Linked DNA regions of Notamacropus eugenii. The protein of the gene in region 1 binds, or shares a complex with, the protein of each later gene. Links are inferred from orthologs where the notes say so. Each region holds a gene or a part of one and is shown in the gene's direction. Other genes may lie near its edges.

Region 1 (7,958 bases):
GAGCTGCAAGGGAAAGTTCAGAATGTGGACAACGAAGAACTCTTCTTCCATGATGATTCTGGCTTACCTAACCAGTCAGCTTCCGTGGATCCTTACATAAAAGATTTGGGGGAAAGATGTGGTCTTGTGGGACTACCTAGGCCATATTTTCTTATCAAGGTGTATCAGTTAAGGATAGGGAGGCAGGTGATCTTGTATGGAGGACACTATCCAAGTGATCTCTTAAGAGGGAATGGAAATAGTTCTTGGGATTCGAAGGGTACTAAACTGTATCCTTCTTCCATTCTCTGCAACAGTAAAAGAATTATCAACCTGGGTCCAGTACACCCAGGTCCTCTGAGTCCAGAACCACAGCCCGTAGGTGTCAGCGTCAACTGTGGCCATTGCAAGAACACCTTTCTGGTGAGGAAGGATGGGACAAGCCGGGAAGGGGCTAGTAGACATTTATGAGAATATATTTCTGTAGATAATACTGAATGTGGGGAAGGTCAGTTATTGAAATCACCACTTTTGCCCTTTTTTGTCCATTCCCCTGTTCAGTCCTTGTGTTTTTCCATGGAATCCCTCAAAGAATTGACCTTACAGGCCATTTTTATTTCTGCTTCTACCATAAATTAACCCCTCATCCTATTTTCTCTATAGTGGACAGAGTTTACAGGTCGAACCTTGGCACGTTGCCCCCACTGCAAGAAAGTGTAAGTGATTTGGAATTGATATTATAAACCTACTTATCTGAGGGAGGAGGTAGGGGATGTTGACTATATAAGGATTACAAAGTCATGAAAGGCTTGCCACCTATGCTTATCCCTTCATAGCTCATCAATTGGGCGAAGATATCCCAGGAAGAGATGCATTTGCTGTTTCCTACTTGGGCTACTATTGGCTGTTACTGCCACAGGCTTAGCAGTGAGTAACTAGCTCTATCTCCTCTGACCTTTCACTTTTCATCTTCCTCTTTTCTACTTTCCCAAGTTCACTACTAGAATCAAAGGTTTCATAAGAGTAGTTTAAAAAAACCAAAAACCTGAGGTTTATCTGACCAAAAAATGGCTGATTGGGGATTGATGCAGTCTTCAGGATCAAATGGGAAAGGTTTTCTCTGCACAGAAAAGAACAAATGAAATGGCTAGTGATAGGAACAACTCTCAAATTGCAAGCTGATGTAACTTTGTCTTTTTTGTTTTTTGAAGGGGAGGCAGTCTGGGTTAAATGACTTGCCCAGGGTCCCATAGTCACTAAGTGTCTAAGGCCAGCTGCACTTGAATTCAAGTCCTCCTGATACCAGGGTCAGTTACTCTATACACTGTGACTCAGTAACACCTAGCTGCCATGTATAACTTTGTCGTAAGTGAGATTGGGAACTTAACTTTCCAGAGAATTTAAAGTAGAGAACTATATGCCCAGTGGGTAATAACTGCTGCTTCCACGAGGCAGATGAGGATTGAATGTCCCTGAAGAGTTGCATCTCATTTCTGATGTAATTGCCTATAGGTAGGGGTGGTAACTGAAGCTGGCTTGGACGCAATGGCTTATCAGGTGGTGGACTGACATTTTGGCACTGATTCCTTTTCTTCTTCCATATTCCTCTCCTAGTTTGGCACATGGAAGCATGCCCAACAGTATGGGGGTATCTACGCAGCTTGGGCATTTGTCATCCTGCTGGCTGTGCTCTGTCTAGGCAGGGCTCTCTACTGGGCCTGTATGAAGGTCAGCCACCCTGTCCAGAACTATTCTTGAGCCCCAGAATGATCCACTAACTGTGCCTGGCCCCTCTCCAGCAGGAACAGTGACACTACAAAGGGGAATGGGAAAGTCCCCTTGGCTTCCATAAGAGGAGCCAGGCTGTTGCCCTCCTCTTCTATAGGGGAAAGAAACAGGAAGGATCTGGGCCCTCAGAGACAAACAAGATTGGAAGGGTGGGTGGGCCACTGCTGAGGGCTGCCTGTGCTTGGGGTGGAGTGGGAGATAAAGTATCCTTACCCCAAGTTCCGGAAAATGGTTCTAGCTCTTTCCTTCCTCCATCCTCTCCTAAGGGGCCATTCCTGTCCCTCAGACATTCCAGGGCAGGGCAGGGGTAGGCAGCCCTGGGAGTTGTCCTCCCTTTTGCACCCCCAGGACCTTGCTGCTGCTATTGCACTTCACCAGGGGGTAACTCTAATTTGGCTGCCCTCTTGGCCTCCTCTCCCCACCCCTTTCCGTGCCCTGTGGGGGTGGGGTCAGCCGCTGCTCTGTACAGTACTATGGGAACCGATGTGTATATAGCTATTTAATGTGGGGCATGTTCCCCAACCTGTGCTCCCTCTCCCCAAGTCCTTCCTCTTACCGGCTGTGGCCGGTTTGTCTGTTTTGGGGGATCAGGGGCTCATCCTGTGCTTGTAAATAAAGTTGTGACTCCACCTTATTCCTTGTGTCACTTTTTTTTTTTTTTGAGTGGGGGAAGAAGAGATTCCAGATCCCTTCCAAAGGGGACAGGACATAAAAACCAAAAGGCTAGACCTCTACGGTTCTTTATTCTCAAATAGATATCTCAAAATCAAAGAAACAGTCCAGCATTTCTGGCTGCTGAAGAACCACTTTAAAATGCAGGATTACAAAGCCAGCAAGAGGGTGATAGGACAGTGGTCGCTACCTAGGGCCTTGGACCGGATCTTACTGTCACACAGGGCAGGGAGCAAGCTCCGGGACAGTAAGAAATAGTCAAGCCGCCAGCCAACATTCTTGGCTCGGGCATTCATCATGTAGGTCCAAAAAGTATAAGCATAAGCTGCCTCTGGATAGAGGTGACGGAAACTGTCAGTCAAGGGCACTGCTTGAAGCAGCTCCCCAAAACCTTGACGTTCCTGTGGGGTAAACCCAGCATTTTTCTTGTTTCCCTTGGGATTGCGCAAGTCAATCTCTTCATGGGCCACATTGAGGTCCCCGCAGAGCACAAGGGGCTTTTTGGCATTCAGCCCCTTCAGAAACTTGCGAAATGCTTCATCCCATTTTTGTCGATATTCCAGTCGAACCAGCCCTCGTCCTGCATTAGGTACGTAGGCTGTCACCAACACAAACGCTTCAAACTCAGCCACTATCACCCGGCCCTCCTGATCATGCTCCTCTTCACCTATGGAATGGACACAGCAAACCCAGATAAAGATCAAGCATTGGAAAGTGAAGGTGAGGCTGGGAAATGTTTCAAACACTTCCAGTCTCAGAGAGCAGTCAGGATAAGGGCAGCAAGGTATGTCTCACCAATGCCAAAGCTGACGTTGAGTGGGCGCTGCCGGGAAAGCAGACCAACGCCGCTGTAGCCTTCTTTATCTGTGGGTGAGGACCAGTACTGGTGGCTAAGGCCAGGCAGGTCCTGAAGCTCAGGCGGCAACTTGTTCTCTGAACATTTGGTTTCTTGGAGGCAAAGGATGTCAGGAGCTTCTTCCTTGACCCACTGTCCATGGAGAAAGGAAAGCAGATTACAAGAACTTGCTCATCCCAGACCATCACCCTCTGCCTCCTCCCCAACTCAGCGCATCCTAAAGCCTAAATTCCCCAAATGAGATGCTGGCATTTTAAGGAGAAAATCTTTAAACAGAGAAACCAACAGAACTAGACTCCCCAGAACAAGTCAACAGTTTGGAGTCATTTTCCCTTCCTGAGCGCCATACTCACATCCAGGCCCTTTTTCTTGATCCAGGCCCGGAGTCCATCCACGTTCCAGGAACATATCTTGAGCGTGAAGGGTTTGCCGCTGGGGGAGGTTCGCTGGTCTGGGGGGTCCTCGTACGTGGCAGACCCTTCCCCTGCTGCCTCCTTCTCCTTGGCACCCTTCTTGGTCTTCTTAGGCTCAGGCTCTGTTACAAGTTTTATTGGGAAAGGCCAGGGCGGATTTCACAAGGGTGATAGTAGACACTTCTACTTCGGGTGGCCCGTTATAGCCAGGTGACCACGGGGTCCACCCCATGGACACCTACTCTGCCCCCTTTTCCCACTTCGGGAGATCTGCACTGATCCAAGGTCCCCGGGTTACCTTTAGCCCCGGGCTCCTCCTCCCCGATCCCGTCCTTCGAAGAGGCCTCCTTCTTCCCTCGCTTTGGCATCCTGGCCCAGAACAGCGCCCCGCGGCCCAAGGCCCCTGCGGCCCCACGCAGCAGAATCCTGGCGCTGTGGACGCCTCTGCGGACACCGGGAATAGAGAAGAGATAGGGACGGTGCCGGCGGGGGAGGAGAGGGGCCGTTCCCCGGACAAGGCTGGGACATCCCTCCCTCCGCTCCGCGCTCCCTTCCCCCTTCCCCAAACATCCCGGGATCCCAGCCCCGGTTATTCCCGGCCCCCTCAGGCCCCAGCCTAACAACTTCGTACTGAGAGGCTCCTCGGCCGGCGGACGCTTCTCGCCCACGGCAGCTCTTACAGCACCGCCGACGGCCGGGAGCTCCGGAGGAATGCAGCCCGAAGCGGACTCCGCCGGGAAGATCCGAGCTGCTTCCTCCCGCCGACACAAAGAGCAGAACCCGCGATTCCCCACGTGGGGGAGCTGGCCCTGGTCACGTGGCCTCGGATCGCGGGCTTCCGAGCAGAGGAGACGTCCGGGATTGGCTGAGACCAAGCGCGGAGAGCCCGCCCCTCCATGTGACTCCGACGCGCGTCCGAGAGGTCTTCTCCCTCGGGGCTGTCTATCCTGGTGCCTTACGTGGGACTCCACCGTCCGAGCGGCCACGCAGGCTGTCACATGCAGGGGAGGGCCGCAAGAGTCCGGGAGGGCCTAGAAGAGACACGCTGGCTCGTGATGGGGCCGAGAGGAAAAGACGCCGAGTCACCCCCCACCCCCGGCAGTGGCTAGGGCGGACCCCACTAGGCGCAGGCCTCAGGAGAGGGGGCGGGGCCTTTGATCCCGTCGCCGTAGCGACGGGGGCGGGGCAAAAGAACTGCGCTGTTCGTGGCCGGGTAAGCCGGGCTCTGACCGCTCCAGCCGTGTTCCGGTCAGTCCGCGCCGTGTTCCGTGACCTCTTCTGGCCGCGGCAGCGTCGGCGTGGGCGGGGGCGGGCTAAGGGCAGAGCTCCATGAGCCCCCGGGACCTCTGTCTGACCCCGCAGCCCCAGCCATGCCCACGGTGCTCGGTTTCGAGGGGAGCGCCAACAAGATCGGCGTGGGCATCGTGAGAGATGGAGCGGTGCTGGCCAACCCTCGGCGGACCTACCTCACCCCTCCGGGCACCGGTCAGTGGGTGCGGGGCGGGGGAGGGGAGCTGTGCCCACCCTGCCCGCTCGCAGGCCGTGCCGCGCAGTGGGGTGATGACGGGTAGATGCCCGCGTTTGTTGGGTGGGCGGTGGGCAGCGCGGCCACGACCCGCCTCGTTGTACGGGTGGACGTTGATCGCGGTGACTCCAAAACGCTTCCCCTGTTTTCTCCCCGGACGCCTCCCGTAATTCTCCCGTGCTCGGACACTGTGGTCAGCGCGGACGCGGGAGCCGAAGTCCGAGGGCTCGGGAGCCCGGGTCACCGCAGCCCAGGGGGGGTCACCGCAGCCCGGGTCACCGCAGCCCAGGGGGGTCACCGCAGCCCGGGTCACCGCAGCCCGGGTCACCGCAGCCCAGGGTCACCGCAGCCCAGGGTCACCGCAGCCCGGGTCACCGCTGGGGTTAGAACCCAGGCCGAGGACAGCCGGATCTGGAGGCCCGGCCCCTGGGGCTGGAGCTCCAAGGCGGGTCTTTCTGGCTCTTCTGCTGCCCTTTCCCTGGAGCCAGAGCCAGGGCTGACCTCGAGTTCCCTGAACGGTGACTTCCTGGGGTACTTTTCCAAAAGAAGGTGTGTGACCTCGGACCCTCGTATCCAAATCTCCACAGGGTTTCTGCCGGGAGACACTGCCCGGCACCACCGAGCTTGCGTGCTGGACCTGCTGCAAGAGGCGCTGACCGAAGCCGGACTCCACCCTAAGGACATTGACTGCGTGGCCTTTACCAAGGGTATGGGTGGAGCAGCGGCCTTGGGGTGGGAAAGGACTGAGGCTCTTCTAGCTCCAAATCTGTACCGTAGAGGACCCACCCCTACTTCTCCTTCACTGCAGGCCCTGGAATGGGTGCCCCCCTCGTCTCGGTGGCTATCGTTGCCCGAACCGTGGCCCAGTTGTGGAATAAGCCCTTGGTGGCTGTGAATCATTGCGTGGGCCACATTGAGATGGGCCGCCTCATCACTGGAGCTACCAGTCCAACGGTGCTCTATGTCAGCGGTGGAAACACTCAGGTACCGGGGAAACGCTGCTTACCCCTCCTTCCGACTCTAGGCGCTTTCATTTTAAATGAGTAGCAGGAGGCTGTAAAAGAAGTATCCATTTACATGTTACAATGATGCATCAGGAAACATCACACGTGCAGAACTGTGATGTAGCACACCGCTACTAAGGATACATCAGCAACCGTTTTAAGACATAGCCAGCTACTAAGAAAAAGGTCTAGGAAGTTCTGTTTTAAATGCTCAACAGAATGAGGTGGTATCCAGGTAAATTACGAAGTTTAGAGTTTTGTCATCTAGAAAGATAAAGGCTGAAAAAGATGATGATCCAAGTCTGAAGGATTTGGATAAGGGAAACATGTTTGTTTACCACATCCCAGAACACTAGAGCCGAGGATATTCATCAAAGCTGCCTCAGAGCATCGTCAATACTCTTGTGAAAACTGGACCTAGTTTTTCTTCCATTTTACCATCCTTTGTTGTAGTTTCCTCAAGGTGGCTAGTGAACCAGCATTGATTCAAACACTTAAGAGGAGCTTACTGTTTAACTATAGGTAGTTACCATCTTATGTATTTATCAAAATGTGCAGAGTTTAGGTATATCATTATCATTGCCCCGTGTGGGCTGATATATTTATGTATTTGTATACCATATATGTTATATATGTATATTATATATTTATAGGTTGATGCAGAGGTCCTTAACTTGGGATTCTTGATTTTCTTTATTTTTTGATAATTGTATTTCAGTATTATTTATTTAATAGTCCTAAGCGTGTAAAAGCATTATTGTGAAAAAGGGTCCATAGGCTTCACTAGACTGTCAAAGAGGTCTGTGACACCAAAAAGGTTAAGAAAACCTGGTGTGATGGGGCTCAGATACAGAGACAGTTACAGTATGCTTACAGTAAGCATAGTGATACAGAAAGTCTGAGAGGGAATGAGGTCCCAGAGTGAGGTTGAAGGAGCAATAGCAGGGGTCTTACTGCCGCTGAATAGCTTCTCCCTTATTCCTTGCCGCTAGCCCTCTGCTGTTGACTGGCACTGGAAGGAGGAGAAAAATTTGGAACCAAGATTTGGGGTGGGAACAGCAGGTATTACTGTCGATGAGTGGGGCACAGATTGTAGTTGCAATGGAAGGGCCCCAGCTGGAGTTCAGGAGAAGGAACATTCCTCATCTGTATCTCACTGGGATAAACTATTCCTATGTAAGGGTTCTTTATTGACTACCAGGTGTTCATAAGTAGGAAAACTATTTACTGATTGGGCTAAAAAATGAGTGTAAATCAATGAGATATTCCCTATTGTCTAGATTCCTCTGCTCTGTTCATGGTATATACTTAAACTCCCTCTAGCCTTTGGAATGGCTTCTGCAGGACCCCTTCTTCCTACTTTCATATAGGATAGCCTCTTTTACAGTTCAGACTGACAGTGCCCTGTCCTCAAAAGATAAATGCTCAAAGAATGTGTAGAATTTCACAGGCTAGATAAATTTCATTGAACTGGATATCTGTTTTTAGCTCTTTTATGGACTAGCTAAAACTACTCTTGGCTTCCATGGGCTATGTCCTATAGAAGGAATATAGGGAATAATTCAATCAAAAACTAGAGAAGCTATCTCTTCCCCATTTTATCTTAGAAGTCTTAGTTACCATATTGATTGATTGTAATGTCCTCCCCAGACTCAGGGTTTCATGGACACCCCTACCTCCTTTAGGTGATTTCATACTCAGAGCATCGCTACCGAATCTTT
Region 2 (7,802 bases), about 23 Mb from region 1:
GGTAATCTAATTTGTAGTTCCTTTAATTTTGTTCTAAACTGTAGACCTTGATGACTTTACCACTTAGCTTTGCAAACAAGTAATAAAGAGATTGGATTCTAATGCGGATTAAGCTAACTGCTAAGGGAATTAAAAAAAAATTTCCTTTCTACCCATCCAATTGCAATTGATTTTATTAATTAAATGATTGATAAATCTTACTTACCGGAAGTAATTTGCATTCCAGGTTTTTAAACTTGCTATTTCCACAATCACAGCGAAAATTTCTGAAACAAAGGAGCAAGGTAATAATTTCAATTTATTCAAAAAATGTAATGTCTTACTTTTTACGTTCAGGAGTCAGGTTACAATCATGCTTCTTTTTTTTTTTAAAGTGGGCTTGGTTACTATGACCTGATCCCTGAACAAAAGTAATAAGAAAAAAATTGTACAGTCCCAGAAAAGAAAGAGGCCAAAAAGAATGCAGAAATAAGTAAAATTACTACAGATAAGGGTCACTTCCTTGATCCCAAGTATGTAAATTTAAACAAATGTAAATCAATTTGTTCTTTAACTGTAATTTTAAAAACTGCTCCCAAAAACTAATCCATATTAAAAACAATTATGATTACATTGTTTCATTAGCATACATCAGCTTTAATCACTTCTACACCTTTATAAAATCAGTTTTAAATGAAAAAATTGGGGCTAAAGGAAATACAGTTAAGAAGGCAAAGACTATATAAAGTATACCTCTTTGGACTGGAGTTAACATTTAAGAACTAATCCAGATATTTTAATGCTCTCTGAACAACTTTACCTTTTTGTATATAGCTCAAATAATTTATGACTTCCATGGCATTCATAACTGCATGCTAAACAAATTCCTGCTGGTTCCTCTCCTTCTGGGGTGCATGTGCTGCAGGCATATAATGCTTGTCTTTTTACAGAGCCCTGTCAGATGCACAAAGAGGAAGAAGAAAATCATCAAGAAAACAAATTCATTCAAAAGTGGTACAGCTGGCACTAAGCACTCTTTGTGATCTACATAATAAATGAAATTTAATTCAAAACCCATAGACATCTGTAAAGGTCTTCCCACACCGACTTACAAGCCTCTTTTTTAAAAGCACAACAGTACCATAAAATGGGGTATAGTTCAAAGGAGAAAGCATGTACAGTGGAACAAGCAGAAGCTCTCGATCACAGGGCCCTGGGTTCAAATCTTGCCTCTGACACTACCAATGTAACCTTGGACATGACACCTTACTTTTCCTGGCTTCAGTTTCCTCACCTACAAAATGAAGGTCTTAGTCTAGATGTCTTCTGAAGTTCCTTTCAACTTTACCTCTATGACAATGACATCCATATATGTACTGAGAATTTTAATACACCTTTCATTTAGGGCCCAGCCTACCTTTCGAACCATATAGTCTATGCTGTTTCTATTTCAGTCATATCTTTCCTTTTATTATTTTAAAATGTTTTATAATGACCAGCTTCTGTATCTTGAGTCGTATCACAAATCATTACAATTGCTTCCCATTTAAAAAGCCCTTTCCCAACCATTAAAATTCTATTCATTCTTCAAGGTCCAGCCCAAATTCTAGGTCCTCTGTAAACCTTTCTCTGACCCCTTCAATCTGAAATTCTCCCTTCCCTCTTCAGTCCTAAAATTCACTCGTTTGCTCATTTTGCACTTACTATTTACTGCCTAATATTTCTAGTCATTTTGTGTGTGTGTACATGCCCCTGGGCAGCTAGGTGGTGCAGTGGATAGAGCACCAGTGCAGGAGGACCTGAGTTCAAATCTCACCTCAGACACTTGACACTCACTAGCTGTGTGATCTTGGGCAAGTCACTTAACCCCAACTGCCTCATCCTGGGTCATCTCCAGTCATCTTGTTGAATATCTGGTCACTGGATTCAGATGGCTCTGGAGGAGAAGTGAGGCTGGTGACCTGCACAGCCCTCCCTCACTCAAAACAAAGTCAAGTCCAAGTCATGGTCTTCTTTGGCAACGAAGGACGAACACACGAACACACACACACACACACACGACCCAGTTCGGTTCCCAACTTCAAAAATCCATGAAGAAAAGAACCATGTCTTAAACATGTCTACATAAAGTCAATGCTCAAGAAAGGTATTTTATTAATTAAACTACACAAAAAATGAGCTGTTGTGGTCAATAAAGGTTTTGCCAAAATATAATTCTTCCAACCCCTTTTAAAACTCTAAAATGAATTAGGGAACTGCTTTGCCTTAATAATTATAGTTTGGGATAGATAACAATATTTGATGACTGAAAATCTTTTAGTGTCTCATCATCACTGCATATCAAGAAAGATCATAAAAGGTTATAGGAATAGATGTGGATGATGTAGGGGTTGTGCCCCCAGACATCTTAAAATACACTTTTTGTATTAAAATGCTTATACTACTTGCCTTATGGCTTAAATCTTTCATAAAAATGGGAAACAGCAAAATAAATTTAGCTAATTAAGTGTTAGCAGGGTTCTGGTTAATCAACATTTTACAATGTTGGTATTTCTGAGAACATGAAAATAATTAACCATCATATTTTCATCTTGGAAAATGTTTGGTCAACTTAGATATTTAAATCTGAAAGACAATTTACTTTATGGAAGAATAATGCCTTCTCCCCTTCCTCCCTTACAGAACAAACAGGTTTTTGCCTACCCACCTGCTGCAAATCAAGCTTTTTAAAAAAATCACCTCTGAGGTGTTTTAGCACAGCCCCAGGTGCTCTCTCCTAAAAGGCTACCAGGTTTAAACTCTCATTAAGATCAAGGCCTGAAGCATACCACCTCTAAGGTAAAGAGTATCGCCTCCAATCCCAAAGAGAACTCGATACTGAGAATTATTATTTAATGCTGCAGCAGCTCACACGTTTCTCAATGGCTGCTGTATTATGTTAGTCCACACCAGAAAACGTCTTCAAGTCCCTTTCTCTCCACACTCCACTAAGCTTTCTGGACAGGGATCTCTGCACATTTTAATTCTTCCGTCTAGTGTCCTTACTGCACTTCTACGCACCCCTAGCCGGTAAAGGGAACCCCTATAACCTTCATCCTTCCGCAGTCTTCAATGCCAAATCTGCTCTCTTCTCTCCCTTTTCCCCTATTATCCGCTCTTCTGGTTCCTAATCTAACGTTGAAAGCAGAGCTTCTACAAATAACTCGTTTCTACAAAATACTACATCACATCCACGCAACTGGACAGGACGTCCCTGACCCTCACCTCCCAAAGAAGCCAGCCCACAACTTACTATCCCTTCTTGCTCGCCCTAGGACGGGGAAATGCGATTTGGAGAGGGGGGGGGGGGGGGCAGGATAAAAGGCCTGAACCAAGAGGAGGGGAGGAAAGGAAGGAATGGGGTTTTCGCAAACAGTGACACTAAGAATAAGGCAGAGAGGTCCTGAGGAAAGGGGCACTGGGGGGGAAGGCAGGGGAGAAGACAAGGTGGGGGGGGACAGGGCCACCCTATCTATGAAAGGGAATGGGTGGGGGGTGGGCAAAGCCTCCGGGAGCTAACAGAAACGGGGGGGGGCGGGGAATAAAGAAGGGGAAGGGGGCGACGCTGGGAAGAGGACAGACCAAGAACGGGGGCATCTCCGTGCGCGCTCACTGGCCATCCCCTCCCATCTCCCACCTTCTGCAAGGAGCCTCCCTGATCCCCTTAATCCTGGAGTCTTCCCCAGGATTATTCATACTTTAGCCAGCATTTTTCCAGTTTGCACACGGCAGTTTACAGACTGGCCTCAGGCCAACAAGCATTTATTAAACGCCTACTGCGTGCCCGGCACGGCGCTGGGCGGCGGAGGCAGAGAAGGTCAAGAGCCACGCGGCTGGGCGACGTCCTCGGAGGGCAAGGACCACGCTAGCGGACTACCTGACCTCCAGGACGGGGGGTGGGGGGGCTGAGGACCCTGCGAGGCAGACGAGCCTTTAAGAGAGAACCAGGAAGCAGAGAATTCCGGAGCGGGAGCCGAGACACATCAGGAGTGAAGGGGTCGGGCTGGGAATGGGAAGGTGGGGGAGAAGTTGGGGGCCGGGAAGGGCGGGGCAGGCTGGGAATCCCGGAGAAGAGCGGGTCCGCACGGGGGTGGGAACTCCCTAAAGGAGAGGTGAAAGGGCAAAGAATGACGGGGTGGCCCTCCGTGGAGAGGAGGCAGGCCCAGGCCGGGCCCGAAGGCGCCCGGACTGAGCCCCGGGCACGGGAGCCCCGGGCACTGGAGCGGAGGCTCGCGCGGGCCCGGGCCGTGAGCCCCCCAATCTCGGCCCCGGCCCCCCGCCCACCTGCGAGTAGGAGCACTTCTCCGAGTCGCTGCCGCCCAGCACCGCGCAGGCCTCGTTCTCCAGCTCTTCGTCCTCCTCTAACACGTCCACCAACGACACCACGGGCTCCTGCTCGGACAGCCGACCCCCGCCCCGCTCGGCTCCCGCCATGCTCAACTGTCAGCCGGCAGGCCCGGAGCTCCACATCGGGGGCGGCGGGAAAACTGCGCGCGAGGGGTGTAGCCGGAGATGGAGGAACCCCGCCCCTCCAACTCCCAAAACCAATCAGAGCGCCGGGAGGAGAAGGCGGAGCGCGGGGGGCGCCGATTGCGGAAACGGAAGTTCAGGGGAGGCGGGAGGTGCCGAATGCGTAGGCTTTTTTTTTTTTTTTTTTTTTTTTGGTTTCCTATCCCCTCCCTTTTCCTCTCCCTCCCCCCCCCCCCGCCCCACTCCCCTCCCTCTGGTGGCTGCTGCGGCGGCAAGGGCCGCTTCCGTTTCCGGGTCGCTCCGGTGGCGGGCAGTTGAAGAACTGCCGTCATGGAGCTTCTGGGAGAGTTTGTGGGACGAGATGGGAAGCAGCAGCGGCTCCGAATAACTTGTGAGGGGCCGAGTGAGGCAGGCCGCTTCCAGGGACTGCTGTCGGGGTTGGCGCAGATGAGGGAGCAGGTGACCGAGCTCCTTCAAACTGTGGAAGGAAGAGAGGCGCGGGACCCGGCGGCGGCTGGAGGCTCCACCTCGGCCTCGGAGGGTGAGCCGGGCGGCGGCCCCGTTCCCCTGGCAACGGCGGGGGCGGGGGTCCTGGGCGGGGCTCTTTGTTCGGGGCGGGGGAGGACGGCGAGGCCGAGGCCAGGCTGAGCCCGGGGCCGAAGGGTGCTTGGTCCTGGTTGGTGACTTCTGAGGACGGGGTCCGGGGGCAGTGATGGGCTTCGAATTCTGACTCGAAAATGTCGGAGACGCCCTTCCAGCCCTGAATCCTCCGATCCGCAATGTCGCATTTACGTCTAGTCGGGTTGCTTTTGTCTTTTGAGGCCTCACAGCCTAAGTTAGTGCTCAAGTGTTGTCCGTTCTTTGGAGGAAAAAATAGCTATGATGATTGGAAAAAATGAGAAAGGAAAAATAATTGCAAACATTTATATAGAGTGCTGTCCGATTTCCTTAAAATCTTTCCTTAGGACAAACCCTGGGAAGTGGAAAGTGCAAGTGTGAATCCCCATTTTGTTTTTTACAGATGAGTATAAGCAGAGGTTCAGAAAGGTTATTTGCCAAAGGGCACACAGCTAGTAGGTGGCAGAGGGTACTCAAACCCTGCGCCTCGGACACCAAATCCTTTGCCCTTTTGCTCTTTCCACTGTACAAAACTGCTTTATCTTCTATGGTATAGTGTAGTACTTTTGAGCATCTACTACGAAAAGTATAGTATTTAGAGTTTCCGCTATGGTGCAAGGTGGTTCTTAGAGCATCTAAGTACTTCCCACCAAACAAAACTGCTTTACTGACCATCTACGAGGGTGAGGTTCGGTACTTAGAACATCTACTGTGGTGAAGTGTGGATGCTCTAAGTACTACATTGTATCGTGGCAGTAAAGCAACTTTGTATCTTCGAAGAACATCTAAGTACTGGACTGGATTTAACTGGAAGGAACTTTTTATTTTACCAGCTAGGGAAGGGATCTAGAGAGCAGAAGTGGCATGTCTAAATTGACACTGGTAATAGCAGAGCCAGGATACAGACTCAAGTCTTCTGACTTTGAGTCCAGGCTCTTTCCAATACAACACTAAAATATTAAAAAAAAAAAATCCATAATATTGTTAGTGTTGACAGATCCTTCCATGCCGTAGTAGATAGTTTTATAAGTTGCTGTAGTGGAAAAAGAAATTATGCAGTGATAAATCTCTCTGAATGTAGCAAGGCTGGCCCACTCAGAAGGGGTCCTTGCAATGCCCTTATTTGAAATCTTTCCTGCTTGTTAGCATTTGCCGGAGCTTGTTCTCTATGAGGGTAGCTTTCAAGAAATAAAGGTCCTGTCCACACCAATATGAGGCAGAAGAGAAAGACTTAAGTGGAGGTATCTTGCATATCTCAGTTTTATAGGTGGACAAACTGAGGCACCAATCCTTAAATGGCTTACCCATGTCATATAGGCACTGCACTTTGTGGTTGTACTTAGTGCCCAAATTGAATTGTCTGGCCATTTTTCTTTTGCCTGCTGCCAGTAGTATTATTATTTACTTAGGGACAAATAGGTGGTTTAGACATTAAAGTCATTAGACCTCAGACATTTACTGCTATATCACCTGGGGTAAGTTATTTAACCTCTCTTAGCTTCAGTTTTCTCATTTGTAAAAGGGGATAACAACAGCCCTTATATGACAGGGTTGCTGTGAGGATAAAGTAACATTATATAGACATATACATACATATATGTCTATATAATACTATTTAGGTGCTCGCTGTTACCACTTATTATTAGAATTATTTCACACACACATATAATACATTAAAAAATATTTGAGGAATGATTATGGTGCTCTTCCCTACTAGTGTGTGGACACTACTGAAAAACAAATCAACAATAGTACTGTAGGTTGGTTAGCTCTTTTAGGGCATGATATTGACACCAAGATGATAGTTTCCGTCCTTGTATAAACTAGGTAGTTTGGCTAATGAACCAAGTGGGGAGTTTCTATGGTTTCTAGCTTCAAACTCTGTTCCTGTCTTCTTGAAATAGCATGCTGTTGGCTGATCGATCATTAGGGAAGTACCACTACCCTATTTCAAAAATAATAAAAAAAACAACCTCTATCAACAACAGGTTAATAGTGTCAGAATTGTGCAGAAATAGTACAATTGTACATAATTGTACAGAATAGCAATTTTTAAAATTCAGGAATAGAATGAGACATTGCTGGATTATTTACCTCGTAAATTTAAAAGAGGTACATTTAATAACTCAAAAGTAATAATGTGCGTGCTTTTTTACCTCAGAAGTAAACATTATGTTATAAAATGCTTTGTCATTTTAAAAGTACTTTACGTATGTCATCTCCTCTGATCTCATTAACAGCCCCTTTTAGCTGTCCTTCAAGAATATTGTCATACAACAAATATTTGTTATTTTAAAAGGTGAAGACGATGAGGCTGAAGATGAAGAAAGTAACACTCAAAACAAAATTTACTCATCGGGACCACCTGCAAAACGGATAAAACCTTTACATAGTCTTGAATGTAGTTTTGGAGTAAAAAACTTTGGCTAAATCTTGGTATAAATATTTGGTATATATTGAGATCTTGCAAAATTTGTACTTGATTTTGGAAACGCATCTGTTTTTACCTTGGCTATTCTGTCAAAGGAAAATGTTTCTTCTGTATATTGCCAACCAAAAAAAAATATGATGAATGTTTGAAAATAAAATCATTCCTCTTGAGTGAGGATATCATTTCAATCAACAAGCATTTATTAAGCGCCTATTAGATGCTAGTCACTGCAGATACAAAAATTAAACAGCTCCTACCTCAGGGA

Evidence for each region.
Region 2: OSGEP (region 1) and GON7 share a complex: the UniProt entries of both Homo sapiens proteins name them as parts of the EKC/KEOPS complex. The link is inferred for Notamacropus eugenii from reciprocal best matches to the Homo sapiens genes OSGEP and GON7.

What each region holds. Positions count from the first base shown.
Region 1 is NC_092878.1:13,804,678-13,812,635, forward strand, and holds the start of OSGEP (tRNA N6-adenosine threonylcarbamoyltransferase), read left to right. Parts: upstream 1-4,731; 5' UTR 4,732-5,078; coding exon 5,079-5,193; intron 5,194-5,820; coding exon 5,821-5,940; intron 5,941-6,041; coding exon 6,042-6,217; intron 6,218-7,922; coding exon 7,923-7,958. Other genes in the region: PIP4P1 (type 1 phosphatidylinositol 4,5-bisphosphate 4-phosphatase), read left to right, coding at 297-402, 643-695, 816-906, 1,594-1,737; DNA repair nuclease/redox regulator APEX1, read right to left, coding at 2,589-3,106, 3,235-3,427, 3,649-3,830, 4,007-4,076. UniProt on the Homo sapiens protein: Component of the EKC/KEOPS complex that is required for the formation of a threonylcarbamoyl group on adenosine at position 37 (t(6)A37) in tRNAs that read codons beginning with adenine.
Region 2 is NC_092878.1:36,898,646-36,906,447, forward strand, and holds GON7 (EKC/KEOPS complex subunit GON7), read left to right. Parts: upstream 1-4,651; 5' UTR 4,652-4,818; coding exon 4,819-5,029; intron 5,030-7,405; coding exon 7,406-7,536; 3' UTR 7,537-7,725; downstream 7,726-7,802. Other genes in the region: putative E3 ubiquitin-protein ligase UBR7, read right to left, coding at 206-266, 800-933, 4,303-4,452. UniProt on the Homo sapiens protein: Component of the EKC/KEOPS complex that is required for the formation of a threonylcarbamoyl group on adenosine at position 37 (t(6)A37) in tRNAs that read codons beginning with adenine.